Caenorhabditis elegans: one gene and its partner. The protein of the gene in region 1 purifies or fractionates together with the protein of each later gene. This does not show direct contact. Each region holds a gene or a part of one and is shown on either strand. Other genes may lie near its edges. The genes, in order: bgnt-1.3 and emb-8.

The links.
Region 2: the proteins of bgnt-1.3 (region 1) and emb-8 fractionate together in Caenorhabditis elegans (co-fractionation; one large-scale study listed by BioGRID). This does not show direct contact.

What each region holds. Positions count from the first base shown.
Region 1 is NC_003283.11:16,250,671-16,260,615, reverse strand, and holds bgnt-1.3 (B3GNT1, Beta-1,3-N-acetylGucosamiNylTransferase 1, homolog), read left to right. Parts: upstream 1-4,120; 5' UTR 4,121-4,305; coding exon 4,306-4,377; intron 4,378-4,585; coding exon 4,586-4,758; intron 4,759-4,810; coding exon 4,811-5,006; intron 5,007-5,123; coding exon 5,124-5,226; intron 5,227-5,279; coding exon 5,280-5,559; intron 5,560-5,605; coding exon 5,606-5,722; intron 5,723-5,890; coding exon 5,891-5,984; intron 5,985-6,029; coding exon 6,030-6,166; intron 6,167-6,217; coding exon 6,218-6,299; 3' UTR 6,300-6,709; downstream 6,710-9,945. Other genes in the region: Nuclear hormone receptor family member nhr-218, read right to left, coding at 1-169, 551-767, 817-1,029, 1,085-1,174, 1,219-1,382, 1,814-1,947, 1,997-2,130; Receptor-type guanylate cyclase gcy-20, read left to right, coding at 6,829-7,025, 7,367-7,609, 7,709-7,935, 7,977-8,102, 8,152-8,273, 8,355-8,477, 8,561-8,830, 8,879-9,072 and 1 more.
Region 2 is NC_003281.10:5,195,958-5,206,123, reverse strand, and holds emb-8 (NADPH--cytochrome P450 reductase), read left to right. Parts: upstream 1-6,446; 5' UTR 6,447-6,463; coding exon 6,464-6,585; intron 6,586-6,643; coding exon 6,644-6,737; intron 6,738-6,790; coding exon 6,791-7,789; intron 7,790-7,836; coding exon 7,837-8,085; intron 8,086-8,587; coding exon 8,588-8,884; intron 8,885-8,928; coding exon 8,929-9,156; 3' UTR 9,157-9,444; downstream 9,445-10,166. Other genes in the region: ATPase morc-1, read left to right, coding at 1-91, 167-308, 353-991, 1,040-1,731, 1,781-2,020, 2,070-2,138; moc-6 (Molybdopterin synthase sulfur carrier subunit), read right to left, coding at 9,461-9,539, 9,793-9,848, 9,892-9,945, 9,997-10,062.

The DNA of each region.
Region 1 (9,945 bases):
ATGTTCATTAAATGTTTCTGTAAGCTTTTCACAATTGCCATCATTTTCAGAACTCTTTGTGCATATTGCTCTAAGTGGAGATCGTTTTTGTAGTGATTATGCAGGTCGCTGGCTAATTGATTTGTATATTGTTCCCCATGCCGCAGGTTGTCTTCGTTAAGAACTTTTTCTGAAAGTAAACTAAATTGAGGTGAAATATGATGTGTTCTTTCTTATTATCTGCGTTTGGTGGGTACTGTAGACGTATGTTTGGAACATCAAAAAGAGGTCTAGGCATTTCAAAAAAATTTTCAGATTTTTAAAAATGTAGCGACTGACTATAAGCACAACTTGTTGCAGTTCACTTTTGCACCAGTTTTTATGCCGATAGAAAACTCCAAAAGCAGATTTTCACAAAATTTTATTGATTTTAAAGTTGTTTAAATGCAGGAAAACAATTTAGATTTTTTTTTGAAATTCTTTGGAAAAATGCTTTAGAAACAAAGTTATAAGTTAACAATTTTAAAATAATATTTTAAAATTTCAAACAATTAGTGACTTCAAAACTGACCAGCTACAAACCAGACTAACTGCCACAGCATATAATTTATCTCCAATGAACTTGGCTTTAAATTCTGTAATTTTCTTGCCACGTCATCAAAAAGTATGTGAAATATCGGGTTTAGCTCCTTTTCAACTTTTCTCTTTTCCTGTTTGTTTAGGGGTTTCAAAATATACCGGAAAACCTTCACTATGTCGACTGCAATTTTTTCGGATAGAAATACAATCTGAAAAATTTTCTCATGAATTTTCAAGCCCAAAATTAACTTTGCAAACCTTTTCCTCGCAGACTTGATTCCCAAATATTTCAACAGAAACGGACAAAAGTTCTAGCCAAGACCACACATGCCACGTTGATTTTAAAATCAATAAATTTTCGGTTTCAGTTAAGCTTTGAAAAAATGAAGAATGCGTTAACCACGTGGCACAGTTTTTTATATGACCCAGCCGAAAATCGGTGAGATTTTGGAAATTGATCCGGTCCTCAATCTGAAAATTAGTTATTAAAACTATAACATTTTAGAATTCAGAGAAATTTTCTTACGTCAATATATCGCCGTTTCTGATGCCTTGTGATAAGTTTGAAACCGTTTTCGAGATCAGTTAAGGGGCTGTCAGAGTAGTTTCTTGAAATCTGAAAAAAACTGCATTTTTCAAAAATAGTCTCTCCAAACTTACACTGAAAATATATCGAACTTCAGCCAACAAACTTTTGAAGCCATACAGGGTTCCATGAAATATATAACTTTTTTCGTTTTCAGGATCAACAATTTCAGACAATTCGGGCTCGGTTGATGTTCCCGGGAATGTTGAAGATATTGGATCACGATTTTGTTGGATTTCTGAAAATTCATAATAAAATGGTTTGATCGGAAATCTGATTAAATATTTTCAAATGTTTTCTTTTAAAATTTTGGTGGAAGTTGTTGAAATTTTTATGAACAAAAACTATGGCTGGAAGTTAACTTCTGAAAAAAATTATGTGAAATTCGAATTTAACATTTTTTGAAAGTTTGGCTAAAAAACATTTTATATTCCAAAAAAATTATAATGGAAATTTCGGCGGGATATTTTAAAGTTTCCTACTTCAAAATTAAATTTAGGACGGAAAATTTAATAAAATAAATATTATGAACATTTTGGGATCTACAAGCACCTTCTAAAAAAATATTGCTAAAAGTCAACATAGCTTGGTTAGATAAGAAAATCTTTGTGAACCCCGAGAAATGAGTATCAAAATTTCAACTTTTTTTACAAACACAAAACAACCAACTTTCTGCCTTCATTCCCATCTGTAGGCACTTTTGAAACCTGCAAAGCCTACAAAAGTGTCGCTCGGTACTGTCAATTCTACAGTCATTTTTTCGGGTTTTGCAATGGTATCTCATTCCGCACACAAGAGATCTTCTGAAAGTTTTCTTGCTAATTTACAGTGTAAAACATTTTAATTACTTGCCTGAAAAATGCGGCGCAAGCCCTACAAGTCATAACGTTAAAGTTAACCCCATGAGATTGATATGTACAAATTTGGCACGGAATTGGCTGTGTTAGCATTGGCTCGAGGTGATGTTGAAATGAGCTGGCAACCATAGTTTCTAACAATGAGTTAAACAGAAAAAGATATTCTGAGAAATAATGGAAATAGGCGCGTTGGAAGTACAGAAAGATCGAGTTCGTTTTTCGTAATCGTCGAGCGGATCTCCCATGTGAGACCCCATTCTTTCATTGGACACTTGAACTATTGGGCAGGCACATCGGCAGGCTTAACGATTTTTTTCTGGGGATAAACACATAGTACTGTAGGATTACTGTAATTTTTGAAGAAAGCTATAAATACATCCTCAGTGTTTGGAGTGGGTTGAGATTAGTGCACGCACAGTGAAGGGGCACTGTAGGATTACCGTTAATGTAGTGAAGGAGTACTGTAGGAGTACTGTAGTTATATGAAAAGTCTGTCTGAAGCTTTGAGAATGGGGTTGGAGTTAGTGGAGAGTTGGTAAAGAAATATGGGCAGTGTACTGTAGTAGTACTGTATGAAACTGTGGTACATGGGTACTGCTGTGATATGGTAGGAGTACTGAGGTGTCAAAGTGCTCATTTTGGTTTGACCTTCAAGAAATGCGAAAGATGAGACGAAGACTTATCAACTGTTTTCGCATGGTTAACAGCGTGCAGATGCCACATTTTTCAGAGGGCAAAATTCCCGCATTATTTGTAGATCAAACCGCAATGAGACAACCTGACACCACGTGTTGTAGGAGTACTGTAATGTATGCACGAGAACTGTATGCACGAAAACTACTCTTCTATCTCTTCTTTTATTTTTCATTCCCACATAACTCATATCAGACAATTTTTGATATTGCATTTGTCATATTCTCTTCTGTCTAAGTACAGTTTCTCCGCCCCTTCTCAAATGTATTCATACCAGCTCTTATTAGCTGTTCTTATCTTCAATAAATCGGTCATTGCCTGACGACAACACCTTTTATGGTGTACCGACGTACTAACGGGCTCCGCAAGACCCGCGTGGCAGGCGGGTCAGGCAGTGCTTATTCCCTATTCCCTATTGATGCACCATAAAAGGTGTTGTGGTCTTGTTTTCTATCAATTTTTTTAGCTCAGAATTATATAATGTACTTGAATGCACTTTGGGGAGTAGACGTATGATTTTTTATTTCAGAAAACTTTGAGCATTTCACAATTTTTGAAAAGTTCTATACAGAAAGGGGAATCGAAAGATTAAACCTATCGATGTTACCTTTCAACAGGACAATGCCTGCGTTGCAATAAACACCGGTCGGATAAAATCTTTCAACACACCAAAGGCGAAAAGTTCCACGGAAGAGATGAGAAGAAATAAGGAAGGATTGCTGTGCAATCGGGAAAACGTGGACTTGATTTTTGAACACAATCTTGTTGCTGACATGAGCGACATTTTTTGGAAATAGTTCGGGAAAGCAATAATTGTAGGGGTGGAAATAAGTTTCGAAAATATTTTTCCATTGTTTGAAAACCAAATAATATCATGTGGAACTGGATAAAACGTACACACTTTTTCTAAATTTTGTATGAATTTTTTTAAATTTTGCAAGAAACAAAAAAACGCACAAGTGGATCAACTAGTTTCAACATTTTTTTGCTTTTGGCTATATAATTTTTTTTGCAAAACTATTAAAAAACCGATAAGTAAATGTGAAAATAATTTTTTTTGGTAATTTTTTGTTATGTTATATTTGGTATATAAACACGATTTCTAATGTTTTTGTTAAAAACCCCCACTTCATTGTATTTTCCTTTTTTTTTTAAATTTTGAATAAGTATGCATTGTTTTGAGCAGAAAACCAGTTCTTTTTTTAAAAATTATTTCTAATTCATAACATTTATACAATTTTCTTAACAGTTTTAACTAATAAAAATTATCACAAATTTTGAATGTTTTATCGCGATAAAAGCTGTTCTGCCTATTTTTATGCCTGTTTTATGTTTGGGTTATACATATTTGAATAGTTCCCAAAATCTTTTTTTTTTTAATAATCCAAGTAACGATAACGTTTTCAAAATTCATATTTCAAAGCAGGAACTGTATTTCACTACAACATTTCTCCTCAAGTTTCAACATGTCCCGACGAAAAGTGGAAGAAGCGGTGTTGAAAAAATCAGATAAGACAATGTCCTTTTGCCTGTCAAATCCAGAAGTGAAGCCGAAACACCGGCCATTTTTTTGAAATCTGTATTCACTTTTCTACAGAACACTGATTTTTGATGGTTTCTTTACAAAAATCGATCGGATTACTGTTACTTTCAGCGATAATTGGCTTAGTTTTTTTGATACAGGTAAAATTTTCGGGTTTTTGGAAATTTTGAATAGTGTCTTCTAAAATTTTTTTTTAAATTATAATTATAAAAATTAAGATTTGTTTCATGCGGGAGAACATAATAAATTTTTAAAAAAAATTGAAGAGTTCGTTAAATTTTCCCTAGCAATTGAGAAAACTGACTGAAAATAGTTTCCCGTCAGTAGTCTTAAAAAAATATTTTTCAGCATAGGAAAAGCTATACTTCATCTGATGCTCTCCTGGAAAATGGTTACCCCAATAAGTACTACACAATAGAAAATCCTGCCGAAGAAGGCGAACGCCGAAGTTACTCTATTCAAACCGAAATGCATGCTGACCAATATTGTATCGCGTACAAATTTTTAGAAGCAACTGAATCGTGAGTATCTAATCACTAATCAGATTTTCACAGCATTTATTGAAAATTTTAGATTTCGCGAGGCAGACGGCCTAGAACCAGTAACTCTGGCAACTCATGCAACTGCAGATATGATTGAGACTGTTGAAAATATGACTTTTCTGTGGGATGGGCCGATTTCAATTGGAATATTCGTTGATTATCATTCTTATAATGTTCTTGAGTACCTAGCAGAAGTGCATCGATGTGACGTTTCTTTCAGAAGAAAGGTAAGGAAACAGAGCCGTTTTTCTTGTGCTACCAATCAGCGCTCGCTGAGCAAAGGGCGTGGTCAACGTCGCTGATTGGTCACAGTTATCTTCAAATTGTTTTCTGTATTTTTACAGATGAATGTACACTTTGCATTCCGCCGATCTCCATTTCAAACCGAATGCCCCCTGATTGAAATTCCGCAGTCAAACAGATCATGCCAGGAATTCTTTGCTACTCGTAAGATAATTTTTTTCACTGAAATTTCCTATCTTTTTAAATTTTTCTTTTAGACACAGAACTCCGCAACGCAATTGTTGGCCCTTTCCAGTTATACCCCAGCAATCTAATGCGGAATATTGCTCGAAAAGGAGCCCAAACTGATCTTCAGTTCATAATGGATGGAGATATGGTTCCTAGTGAGGGATTTGCAACGAAAATTAAACGAATTGCTAATGAAGTTATTGATGGGAAGAACAAAAGAGTTTTGGCCATTCGAAGGTTTGAGACTTCTGATACTGCAGAAATTCCAAGAGATCATCTGAAATTGTTAAAGTCGAAAAAGTTGCACAAGTAAGTTAATTCGGGTTTGAGCCAGCTGAAATTTTAAGCTTTTCAGAACTTTTGAGTTTCACCATCGCTATTTCCCAGAAGGACATCATATTGATGGGCTTGACGATTGGTTCAGGACTTCGATTCATTCAGGGGTGGTCACCACGAAGGAAGTAGCTTACCCGTTCGTGTTACGTTTTTTTTTAGTTTTTTGTTCGAAAAATTCTGAAATTTTGCAACCCTGACTTTGAGCCGATCCCCAACAATGCATACGGCGCAAAACCCGGCAGATGTCGGACCCTGAAAATTTGCCAAAATGTTTTCTCGTCTTTTTCTTTAAAAAAAATTTCAGTGGCTATCTCTGGGAAGTGCAAACAATTCTGCATCGCAACGACCCTTACAACGCTGACTATTTCCCATCCAGGATCAAGGTTATGCACTCCTTGGTAGCCAATTTTTTATCCTTTTATATATTTTTTTACCTTTTCCAGGTGTATGCCCTCTGTCGTGCAGGGTACACATTCCATGTGCCAACTCATGTGTTTGATTCTCATAGGGGCATCAAGCATACCAATACGATATACTCAAAAGCTACGATAGCCCACCAAGAAGCGTATGCAATGAAGGAGTAAGTCGGAAACGTCTGAAAATTGGGAAAAGTTTTTTTTTCTAATTCCAGAGCTGGTGATCGGTACATCAAGGAAATGGATGATTTATACCCACATACATTGAGTCAATGTGGAGAGTTTTCAATGATTTGAATAAAAAATGTATATCGAATTAATGTGGAGTTTAATACCAACCGCTGGCCACGCTACCGGCGTTTTTCTCTAAAAATTTAAACTTTTCGCCAAATTTTTTTCCGATTTTTTTCGAGTAACTGCTGTAGAAATATGATAGCCATATTTTTTTTTAATAACTGTGCTTTTTTTGAAATAAAAAAACAATTAGTTGTGTCAAAGTAAATGACCCGGACTCGTACGGTATCGTACGTAGGTCTGCTAAATTGTAATTTTTACCAATATTGTTAGCGTTCATAACAAGATTTCGCTGTTAGAATAAATATGACTAACATCGTTAAAACATTTAATCTTATAATATTTGTCTGATGAATGTGTTTTGTATTGCTCAATGGTGTTATAATCTTTATATAAACAAGAATGAAAACATTCTATGAAATATCCCATCGAAAAATACTCATAATGCTTATTAAAAAATATTGAAAGGTTTCTTTATTGCCTCCCGACGATTCCAGCATGTTTTATTGTATTTTTTTTTGTTCATTCAACAATGCGGATTTTACTTTTACTGCTTCAGAATATTCTTGTATTCTGTCAATTTTTACAAACTATCAAAGTGGGATTAATGTTCTCAAAAGACACGGCCTCAGTGATAAGATCAGTTGGTTATCGGACATCTGCTGCAGCGGTTTTAGTTGCAAAAGACCGGATTAGAGCGGAGCATCTGTTGGATCAATATGATTTTAAGTGGGTTTTGTTTTCAGAGATATCATTAATTTTTAATTCCGTCAACATTTCTTATAAAACAATTGAATTTCCCGCCAAAATTTTGTATAAAAAAAATTCAAATTTCCCGTAAATATTTTTATGAGAAAGATTGAATTTCCCTCTGAAATATTTTTGAGAAAACTTTAATTTTCGACAGCATAATTTTATGATACAATTTGATGTTCCCGCCAACAACTATGATAAATTTCGAATTTTCGACCAAAGCTTTTTTCTGAGAAAATTCGAATTCACCGGCTTTATAAAGTGGACGTGTTAGATCCCATCCAAATCAATCAATTTCCTAACCTCACTTGTTTCAGCTTTACAATAAAGTTCGATGAATGCTCTGAAAGTCTCGCTGCTGGAAAAGTAGTCGAACTTCTTACCCATGATAATGTAGACGTAATTATTGGCCCAACTTGCAATCGAGCTGGTGTAGCAGTTGCGTCTCTTGCTGATTTTTATAATGTTCCAGTTTTTCAATGGGGACTTACTACTACGGCGGACATTGGAAATTTCAGTAGATACCAGACAACGGTCACACTGTCATTGGATACTCACAGGTAAATTAATTTTGGTTTTTTCGAATTGAAATGTGTAATCTAAGAACAATTAGGCTCTTTATAGAGCTGCCGGGAGGCACTAATGAATTCACCTTTCAGCATCTCGCTTGCAGTTCGAGAAATTTTGCGCCAATATGGTTGGTCTGAATTTGTTTTTATATATTCAAACGACGGAGATGAGGAGAAATGCGCTGCGATGAAAGATGACATGGAAAAGATGGGAATCGAAAATTCAGATGTGACCATGGCCTATATGATTCAAATTCAGACGGTCACCATGGAATCACTCCAACGGACCTTGCTAGAAGTTTCGAAAAGAGGAAGAAGTAAATTTAACTTTTTGAAATTAACTGTTCAATTTTTTTAGTCATAATCGCATGTTTTGCAAGTGGTAGAGGATTCAAGAAAGCGTTTATTGCGTCCACGGTGCTTGCTGGAATGTCTACTGAAGAGTACCTTTATGTGTTCGCAGAACCACAGTCGAGAGGATTTTGTGAGACTATATATAGTAAAAGTAGATACTGATAGATTTGTAATTTTAGATGTTGATGAAGCGGATGGAAAAGTTCACTATTCATGGGATGATACGGATGGACAATTGGTGACTGGACTTACAAATGAGCAGATTCGAGATGCTTATGGAAAAGTGTTGTATATTTGTGATGTGAGTAATTAAAGACCATAGAATCAGACACTCAATCCTCATTACTTTACGGTCTTAGTAATTCTACCCTTCATTTTCCAGAATATGGGCGAGCCCACAACTATCACTACACAGTATACCAACTTCACAAGTCAAGTGATCTCTCGAATGGCAGAACAGCCATTCAATTGTGTTCAAGACTGTTCAAATCAGTCTTATAAACATGTATGTGATTTGAAACTGTAAGAAAAATTGAACTGTCGATAAATTATCAGGAGTATGAAAATTCGAGAAATTAAATTTTACAGGCAGCAACCTACGCCGGACAGCTCGCTGATTCTTTCTACGCCTATGCTTTCGCATTGAATAAATCACTCACTCAAGACCCAACCCGTTCAAATTTGAAAAACGGGTCGTTTGTTCTCAGTAATATTGGGATGACATTTCAAGGAGTCGGCGGAGAAGCCGTGACTCTTGATGAGTCAGGAAGTCGGATTGTACAAGTCTACATGTTCGCTATGAACTCCTCACTACTTCCATATATGGCTGCAAGCCTTCTTGTGAATGTCTCAGAAGTGGTATGCCCCACAGTTTTGCTTTCCTTTCCTACATTTGTTTGTTCTCAGGTTTTCACTCCGTTCTACAAATCAGAATCCGAGCTTTGGAGTGTTCGCCCACTTTCTCGACCGAAATGCGGATTCACTGGATTAGAATGTCCTGCGGACTTTGTGAAGGAATACCTTGTTTATACAATTATTGCGGCGTTTATTGTCATCTTGGCGTTATTGGCTGGGTGTGCAGGGCTTCTGTACACAATGCAGTGAGCTTTTTTTGGCTTGTAATGTTTATTAAAAAGGACTCATGTATGAGCAATCCTTTTGAAAATGAGCAAGTTGCTGGGTAAAGCATTCTGTAAGTTCTTGCTCCCGAGGTTTATTCTACAGAGGACTTTGCTCAAGCTTGGAGAGACAGATTCACCTTAATCCTTTGTAATCATCGAAGATTACAACCAATAAAAGTTTAATCCAAGTTGGAAATAATATGTGAAAACACAATTTCCAAACAAAAATAGCTATTCTGATCTCCGAAAATTTCGGGATTCGTCACACAAAATTTACTGTAAGACGCCAGTAGAATTGTAAATTTCCCGCGATTCTCAGAGATCACACCGCAGGATAACCGACTCGTGCTAGCAGACGTTGTTTCAAAAGGCCCTTCCAAAGTTTTTCAAAAACTCGCGTTAATATCAAACAACAACTTTCAGCATGAAGCGAAAAGAAATGGAGCGCCAAGATCTTCTCTGGCAAGTTGCATTCGTCGAGCTACAACAAGTTCAGTCAAAATCCAGAGCCGAAGCAAGTATGCACTCATTTGCCAGTGGCCCCTCAACTTCCACCAAAATGACCGTGGAAAGTCGCACCGAGACCACTAATTTTATATTTTACCATTACCACCAGGAAGTTGTCGCTGCCAAAAAACACGATCTACTTGTATTATTCGATGCAAACCAAAAATCCGAGTTTCGCCAAATGAGAAACTTTGACAATGATAATCTGAACAAATTCATCGGGTTATGCCTTGATGGGCCGCAGCTTTTATCACTTTGGCGGTTTTGTTCAAGAGGATCTTTATCAGATGTTATCAGTAAAAGTTCAATGCAAATGGACAGCTTCTTCATGTTTTCCTTGATTCG
Region 2 (10,166 bases), on another chromosome or scaffold:
CATTATTGTCGATTCAGGCGAGGAAAACAAGCCTTGGCGCGAGTCTCTTCGAAAATATTTGGAGTTCATTTATCTCAAGCCTAGAATGAGGGTAAGTAAAATTCTCTCTCGTTATCTCAGCTTTTTACGAAAATTGTAACATTTAATTCTGAAAATCTATTTTCAGATTCATGTCCGCGGAGAACAAGTTCTGCCGAAAAGGATTTCTGAAAACTGGATTGCGAAGAAGCAACAACTAATTAGTGGTGATCAGTTCACAGCCGCCTACAACAAGATTCTTGATGAAAAGAATGAGACAGTCAAGAAATGTGAGTCATTGACACCCAAAGAATATAACTGTAATTTGTTTCAGGCGAAGAAGAGAAGGCTTTGGTGATGTCGGAAATTGGTGGCACGAATTACACGTCTGTCCGAAGGGAGGATCGCGCCAATCAGAAAAGTTTGCGGCTTCGTGTTGACACCAGTCAGAAGAATTTGGATTCGGCCATTGCCGATCGAGATGCATTCAAGAAAGAAGGAAAGAGTGAAAAATCATTCCATCTCAACATGGGAATTGAAACCAAGGACAGATCGAACAATGGTATCCACTTCTACATCAACAATCGATTGATTTTATGGGGAAACAAGGAAGCCAAGTTCTTTAGTAAATTCGCGAACAGCATCGGTATTTCAATGTTCCTGAGTCTGGATTATTCGTTGTTCAGTGCGGCACAAAACAAACAAGGCTTCGATCATGTGAAGGATTTCCAAGTGCTCGTTAGAAAGTGCAACGATGCTCTACGCGACTATTCCATGTATTTGGAGAAGAGTTGGATTCCAACACATCTGAAAAATACCTGGAACGTGAGAATTTACGAGGGCGATGACGTTTGGGCGGTGCTATGGGGCGTTTATGGATACAATAATACCACCTCAACGACATGTGTTCAAACTCACGACAGCGCGAGGGATCAGGTGATGTGGACGACGTGTGGGATTTGGAAGCTGTGTCGTGAGTTTTTTCGTTTTATAATTAAACTAATTTACTGTTTTTTTTTAGAAATGTGCCGAACCTGGATCAAAGCATCTCGTCCGAATGAAATAGTCGGCTCGAATGATGATTTCTTCTGCTGCGAAAACGTAAACCATCATGGTTGTCGCACCATTGTCGCCGAAGATAACGACTTCAGTAAACTACCGGAAAAATATGATCATATCCTACCACAGAAACGGTTGACTAATTCAGCACCATCATCGTCCGACTCTCAAAATTCTATTCGCTCGGCATCATCCTGTTCTTCTTCGTCTCGTCTATTGAACGTCGCGAAGATAGAAAGTCACGAAAGAATTCATTCATCCACTGGTGGTCACAGATTGGGAGAATCATTCTCAACAACATCTGTCAAGATGGAACCCATTCCAAACAATGCGCATGACAGTCATATCGCAGAAGTCCAACGCAGGCACAGTACTGGAAGAGCAATCTCACCCGCAGTTTCCGAAATTTCTCGTAGAGCTGGAACTGCGCCAAGTTCACAATTGGATATGATTATGGGAGAAGAATCGGATGAGTCGCAAGAGGCACTGACGATCAGAGCACCGCGCCAACGTGCTAAAAGACCAATTGAAAGAGTTTCGAGAAGAAATAGAAGAGATCAATCAGATGATGACTCAGACTCTGAGAACGAAGAAAGATACGCTACTGCGCCAAAAAAGTCAAAAGTCAAAGGAAAGGCTGTTGTGAGAGCACCTGTGAGTTTTTTCAAATATTTGCATCACAAAATCTGTGTATATTTTTCAGAAAATGACTCGGGAGAAATGGCTAGAAGAAATGCTCAACCAGTTTCTGACCGCTCATGGAGAACAACCTCTTCCAAAGAACGGTCAACGAGACTTTGACCCGACGAACATTGTGGAGCAAACCTCACGACGAAACTTCAAAAACAATCAGAGAATCGTAGACGCACAGCAAGCTATTATGCGTCAGATTGGATCAGTTCTTGATCATCTCAAGAGGAACCCGACACATAATTTCAAGATTGTAAGCTTTATTTATCTTTTTTTTATCGTTGAAACTTTTGAAATTTCAGCCTGCTTCTGGAACTGTCGAGGAGAAACTGAAAAATATTGAGCACCAAATCAAAGGAAAGAAAAAATAATATTCCAGCTCGCCCTGTTTTCCCAGAAGGACGTACTTGTACAATTATAGCATGTTCATTTATAATCTTTTCAGAGATTTTTAGCTTTCTCTTTTTTCATTATCGTTTTTACCTCATTTATTTATTATCGTTCCCGACCTCATTTATTTATTATCGTTCCCGACCTCATTTCCCGACCCCATTTATTTATTATCGTTCTTCTAATTCTCTTTTCAATTATGGGTTACTTTTTTTTTTTTGTCTCTTCAGTAAGAACGTATGAATGTTTTTTTTTGTAAGAATATGAATTTTTTTCAATCGAGTTGTTTTTTCTGCAAAGAAATATATCCATCTATGTATTTCAATTCGAACTTCCAGTAGTCAAATTAAGGCTGAAACACCAATTTTCAGAAATTACAGTGAAGAATCTGTTGATCTTCTATTTTTACTTCCGTATGATCAAAACATACTGTTATCTTTGTTGCCTCCATCACTTTGAAAATATTTGTATTTTTTCTCTACGTGTTTGTAAGCATAAACCACAAGCAGAACACAGTCATTTTGATCCGTGGTTTGTAGTTTAGTTCTCTTTTTTAACTTTTAGAATTTTCTAGACGATGATCACAAATTTAATTCAAAATTAATCATTTTCGGTTGAATGTTTCTAGTTCGATGTTTTAATCCGATTTTCACCAACAAAATCTTGTACAAGTTCAAAAAATCGTATAAAAACCCGATTTTTCTTTTCACATGCATAATATTCATGGAAATAGACCGAATTTATCTTTTCTTCAAATCATTCGACTTATTTTCCGATACCGATCTTTTGAGAATCGGGGAAGACTCTTCGAGAACAACGCCGAATTTCGAGTATTTTGCACGATCTTCTTGCAAATTTGATACATAAATTAGACATTTTTGTTCTATTCCACGTCTTGAATCTTCAAAAAGTTTTTGTTCAAATAGAAATTTCGGTTTCCCCCAACAAAACTCGCCATAATTGTTTTCCACATTTCTATCGGTTTCAAAAACTACACGTACAAAAATGGCTAGAACATAGACCACACTTTGAGATCAAGTGTAGCCAATAGAGGTAGTTGTTCACGAGAAAAACAATTATAGATAACACATGAACTGAAGAGAGATAGGTAGAGAAACAGAACGAGAAGAGAGAGAGAGACAAGAAAGAGAAAGAAGAAAAGAACAAGCGATTTTTGTGGGCTGTTACTCCCTCTCAATTGTTTCCTCTCTCTCTCTCTCTATCTCTATCATAGTCGTATTAGGGGAACTTCGTGTATAGTTAATGTGACTGTTAAGGCTTGAATTGCTTAAAAGAAAGATTTCATTTGTAGTTGATTTATTCTAGACGATCTCTCTCTCTCTCTCTCTCTGTTTCTTCTTTTCGATGTTCAATTTGACCTACTTTTATTAATGGATATTCGTTTTCTTCTCTTTCCACGATTTATAGATGTTTCCCCTGAACTTCGTCTCTTTAAATTTATTTGTTTCGATCAAAATTGTTTTGCTTCATTATACCCTAAATGCCCTTAAAATCCAAATTTCACGAAACTTTTCAAAGAATTCTCAAAAGTTTCATGGCTGTTCAAAAGTTTCGAAAAAAAAACCTGATTTCAGCAATAATTTCCAGTTTTCCCAACTTTTCCGTGTCGCAGCGGTCGCAAATTATTACTTAAATATTCGGTTATTTTCATATTTATTTTGCAATTTTTTGTCATTCATCTCGTGACATTTCATAGATTTTTTTCACATATACAGAAATTCACAAAAAAAATTTTTTCGAAACTTTTGGGACTATTTCGAGTATAATATAACAAATTATCCAAATGTCGCTTCTCCATTTATCAAAAAAAAACCCTCCCGATAATTTCGTTAATGAGGACGCTATAATGTTTTCGATATTCTTTCTCTGACATCAAACATAGAAAAAATAAAACCCCGAGATATCCTTCTTGATAATATAAAGGGTACACTGTAGCCAGGTCACCTGCAATCACAGCCTATTCTTTGAGATGGAAACCTAGGCAACCAACTCTATGCTCTACAATCATGCTCTGAGATGTTTTTTTTAAATCAAACATTTTTCGATTTTCTTCAGACTTCCGCATAACCTTTTGATTTCCAATTAAAAGTGGCACCTGTTGCCTTTCTTATTCTCTTCCTTGTATTAAAACCGGAAAAAATGAAATCCTCCACGTCTTCAATGTGTGTGTTGTCTGCGCCCCTATGTACGTCGACTTCGATGACTGACCGTTCATTGTATCGGGCCTAATTCAATTTTTAACTCAAGTGTGACGATATATTTTGATTGAAAACTACGTGCAAACAATTATGATTTTCCATTTGAACTTCAAATTTTGTAGAAAACGCATTTTCGTTTGATAAAACCGTACTTTGCGTGTGGTTTTCGTACACAACATCCAATTTTGTCAAAATGTGATAAAAGTGACATAAACTACAGAAAATGCTTGACGGTGTAATCAGTCCATATCTATTTGACTTATCAACTTAAAAACAAAATTCGCAATTTCTTTTCTTCTCTAATTCTCAATTCAATTCTTATCAATGATTAAACCTAACCAGACAATCTTTGAATTTCAACAGTTATTCACCAGTCATTTATTTCATCGCATGACTTGAATTGACGTTTAATTCAAATTAGGAAATTATTTTTGACTGAAACAATCGTTTGGCGACTAATTATTTCTGAAAGTCTTGTAATAGTGGAAATAACCAATTTTATTTTATTTCTATTACAAAAGTTGACTCTCTTTTGTGACCAAGTAATATTTAATTTTCAGAAATATTGCTCCCGGTCTCGACACAACAAATTTTGTAAAATGTAGAAAGTCGTGCTCCTTGAAAGAGTACTGTATCTTCAAATTTTCATTGTTGCGGAATTTCCCACAATTTTTCGAAGTTTTTCGATAAAAAATAGATATATTTATTTTAAAAACTCAAATTTCAACATAGCGAGATGAAAATTATGAAAATTCAACAACAACTAAAATTTGAAATTACAGTACTCCTTAACGGCGCACGTGTTTTCATATTTAACAAACATTCGTCGTGTCGAGACCTTGGGTACTGTATTTGTGCCGTAAAATTACTTGGGTTATATCAGATATTGTGCCGCAGTTTTTTTTTGTTTCAATTTTTCCTGACTCCTTGTTTTAGTTTTGTTTAAGCATTTTCCTACTGTACTTGCAAAATGTCTGAAATTTTTTAAGATTACATAGTTTTTAGAAGTTTTGTTTTCAGAAGATAATTTTGGCTAAACAGTACTCTAGTCTACGTGTCAATACAAAGTCTGACAAATTTTGTGTTCTCGAAGTATCTTTCTTCGACCACCAAATCATATTTTATGTGTGTCGATCACAAACCTCAAAAAATGATGCAAACTCTCTGACTATCTGCTTCTATAAAATACTCACCTTCTTGGCAAATACAACTTTCTTTTCACTAATAACTTTTCCTCACGGCGTATCTTTGTTTATTTCAATATACCTCCCTCCCTTAATTCGATTTTTCTTCTGTAGCTTTTGTTTTTTCTTCTTTTTCTTTAACTGTAAGACCAAATTAAGGGGACAGACAGAACAATATGTCTAATGTTCCCATTCATTCACACAAATTGACTGTACATTTTTTTTTGAAAAAAGACTCACTGAATTTGCTATACGATAATCGTATCTCAAATTAAGTTTTTAGTTGAAATTGTTTTTGTAAAAAATTATTTATTACAGTTATATGATAGAAATTCAGATATTTCTCAAAATACATATATTTTAGTGCGACAAACTTGTGGTTTTTGCGCCAAAAACACTGGACCCAGTCTCAACACGCCAAATTTTTGATAAATACAAAAAGGTGTGCACCTTCAAAGTGTACTGTAGTTTCGAACTAACGTTTCTGCGCCATTTCAATCAATTTTTCAGAGTTTTCCTCTGTTTTCGTTTGATTCGGGATTTTTCTAAGTACCTGAAATCACCTGAAAACAGAAAAAAAACACATTTTTGTTTAAAAACTATTTATTTATTGAAAAAATAAAGAAATGCATGAAAACAATAAAAATCACATAAAATTAAACTTAAAAAACTATGGAAAATCAATTAAAATTCAACATTAACGAAAGTTTGAAATTACAGTACTTTTTAAAGGCGCACGCGCATTTAACAAAAACTTGTCATTTTCTCGGCGCAAACATCGCAAAATTCAGCGGCAATATTTTAAAACATGTTTAAACTATAACTTCTTATTTATTTACTTTTTCAATATCTCCCTCTTCCTTTTCAAATAATTCTTTAATTTCAGAAACTCTCATTCTAAACATGCTGGCGTGGATTGTGTCGGGTCTCGACACATCAGACCTTGTGGTGCTCACTCTGCTCGCTGGTGGAGCAATTATATTCCTTTTCATGAAGGTTTTCAATCAGCAACCATCGTCTAGCAGGTACTTTAAAAATAAATGCAGAAAATTATTTTTTTTACATTTGAAATTAAAATTTCAGATACTCGCCAACCGTAGCATCGGTCACCACGTCAGCTGCGGCTTCGAAATCGAATCAATCATTCATTGATCGAATGAAAAATGAGAACCGACAGGTAAATTGATATGGAATTTTAAAGAAAATAGAATCAAAATTCTCTAATTTCAGGTGCTTATCATGTACGGATCTCAAACTGGAACAGCTGAAGAAATGTCTGGACGTCTTGCTAAAGATCTTACTCGTTACACCAAGAAGGCTGTTGTCGTTGATCCAGAAGATATTGAATGTGAAGATTTGAATCGTTTGAGTGAAGTTGAGGATGCTCTTTTGGTACTATGCATTGCCACATATGGAGAAGGAGATCCAACTGATAATGCAGTGACACTTGTTGAATATTTGAATGCTGGAGACTGTGATCTGTCGGGTGTTCGATTTGCAGTTTTTGGACTTGGAAATAAGACTTATGAACATTTTAATGAGATTGGAATTCAAATGGACAAACAACTTGAAAAACTTGGAGCCAAGAGAATCTTTCATTTGGGATTAGGAGATGATGATGCTAATCTTGAAGAAGATTTTATGATTTGGAGAGAAGCTTTCTTGCCAAAAGTTGCTGAAGAATTTGGATGGGAGTTGAACACAGAGGCCGAGACAATGAGACAATATCAATTGGAACCAGTTGAAGAAGGAAAAGCTCTTTTCAAGGGAGAATTTGGACGACTTGGAGCTTATGAACGTCCACGTCCACCATTTGATGTCAAAAATCCATATTTGGCTACTGTTGCGATCAATGATGAACTTCATACCGAACATTCTGATCGTAGTTGTAGACATATTGAGTTCTCTGTTGAAGGATCCCGTATTCGTTATGAAGCAGGAGATCATCTGGCTGTCTTCCCAACAAATGATCCAGTTCTTGTTGATCGTCTCATTAATATGCTTCAATTCGATCCTGATCACGCATTCCGTCTTGTGAACGTTGATGAAGATGCATCAAAACGTCATCCATTCCCATGCCCAACCACATTCCGAACTGCTCTTTCTCATTATGTTGATATTTGTGCTCCAGTCAAATCTCATGTGCTCAAAGCAATCAGTGAATATTGTACGGATGATACTGAAAAGGAATTCCTTAATAAGTTATCAACTGCCAATGAGGAGGGCTTGGTGAGTTTTTTTAAATTTTAATTTTGAAGTAATTGAATTTTTTTCAGAAAGAGTACGCCAGATACATTGTCAAAGAGCGTCGTTCAATTGTCGATGTATTGACTGATCAAAAGACATGTAAACCACCAATTGAGTATCTTCTTGAACTTCTTCCACGTCTTCAAGCCCGTTACTACAGTATTGCTTCATCTCCGAGATTAAATGAGGAAAAGATTGCAATTTGTGCAGTTGTCACTAAATATTCTATTGGTGATCGTGATATCAATGGAGTTTGTACAAGATATTTGACCACCAAGGTAAATTTTTTTGCACATGATAGAAAATGAACCGTAATGATCGAATATAACTTTTTCAAATTTTTTCATAATTTTATCAATTTTGCAAATAAGAAAAATAGCTATTTTCGAATTCCCTAGCAAATGAATCACCCTGTTTTGGCATTTTTGCATTTTCTGGCTAATTTCAATTTAAAGCACAGTTTGTAAAATTTTCAGACATTTTTTCGCAAAAAAATCTTAAATGTATACAAGTTTACTTTAAGAAAAATGTCATAACCGGACGATGCATTTGCGCGGGAATTCAAAAATAATTATCTCTTTTTTCAATTTGCAAAATTGAAAAACCATTTCAAAAAAATTTAGAAAAATTTATTACATTTTTAAACAGTTATATTTGGCCATCACGGTTCATTTTTGTATTTTTTAAAACAAAATTTCAAAAAACTCTCACTGTACTCTCACTCAAAAAACTCTCACTATCACACTTTCTTTTTCCAAAAAAAAATCCAAATAATTTCAGGACGCCGGATCGAAATCTCCAGTTTTCGTTCGTAAATCAACAATGCGTCTTCCCCACCGTACCACAACTCAAGTCATTATGATTGGTCCCGGAACAGGATTCGCTCCATTCCGTGGATTCCTCCAAGATCGTCAATTCCACAAAAATGCCGGAAAGGAAATCGGAGCAATGCATTTGTATTATGGATGCCGTCATCCAGATCATGATTACATCTACAAAGATGAGTTGGCAAAGTTCCAAGAAGACGAAGTGCTCACACACTTGGTTTGCGCTTTCTCCAGAGCTCAGGAACATAAGGTAGGATACCGTGTTTCATTGACTTTTAAATAAGATATTTTTAGATCTACGTGCAAGATCGCTTGTGGGAGACTCGTGATCGTATCTGGGATGCTATTAACGTTGGAGCTCACGTCTACATTTGTGGAGACGCCCGCAACATGGCTCGTGACGTTCAGGCAACACTTCAGAAGATTTTCAGAGAAATCGGAGGAAAATCTGAAACGGAAGCTGTCGCCTACTTCAAAGATATGGAGAAGACAAAAAGATACCAAGCTGATGTGTGGTCATAATTTTCAAATTTCATTTTTGTTCAGTTTTTTTAAAATTTTTCAGTAATTTTTCTGTGATTTAGACAAAATATTGCATTTCCCCCTTTTCCCATTTTTCTGTGATAACCTCCCACCCAATCGCCCAGCTCTTTTCAACCCAAAACAGAGAAAAAAAATCATTCGAAATTCGGGTATAAACTTCGCCTCTCTTCCCTATTTTGCACCCTTTGTCGCCCACTAACCCACTTTTCTAGTTTTTTTTTGTCAAATATATCACAAATTTTCATTGAAATAAACAGAGTCTACAAGAATTATCACAATAAGATTATCCACCAGACAATGGAGGAATTACAGCGATTTCTGTGAAGCGAACCAATTCGAAACGATCTCCGGGGTTGGCATATCTGTAAACGACATATTATAAAGACGCAGAGATGTGCGACGGCCAAAAGTTGGGTCTCGTTAGGTATTGGCAACGACACTTCCGAAAGCTTTCTTTAAAAACAACGCGAAACATAACAAAAATGATGAAAAGCTATTGAAAACATTTCAATTAACAGTTTTGCTGCCAATACCTAACGAGACCTAACTTTTGGGGGCGGAGCTTTTCCATTTGGCCGTAGAGCGCGGTTGCACCTCAATTTTCTGAAAACTCACTCCTGATCCACTGCGAGCATCATAACCTTTTCAATTTTTTGAAGAGCTGGGTAATTCTGAAATATTCAATTTTTTAATTTGAAATCTGTAAATTATTACTTCTAAAATTGTTTTCCGAATCTCTTCATAATCGGTCTCTTCGGGAAAATCAATCTAAAAGTTCAAAATTATCCAAATTGTTTCCGTCTAATAATAAAAGCCCACCGCTTCTTCTCTTTTTCCGACCAGCTGACATGCTTCTCCGAAAAATAACACTTTAATTGAAATCATGCTGAAGTTCACAATTTTAAAGTAAAAAATTTCATATCGATAATTCAGTGTAAATTGTAGTTAGAATTCAAAGAAAAAAATCAATAAATTGTAACAGCTATACC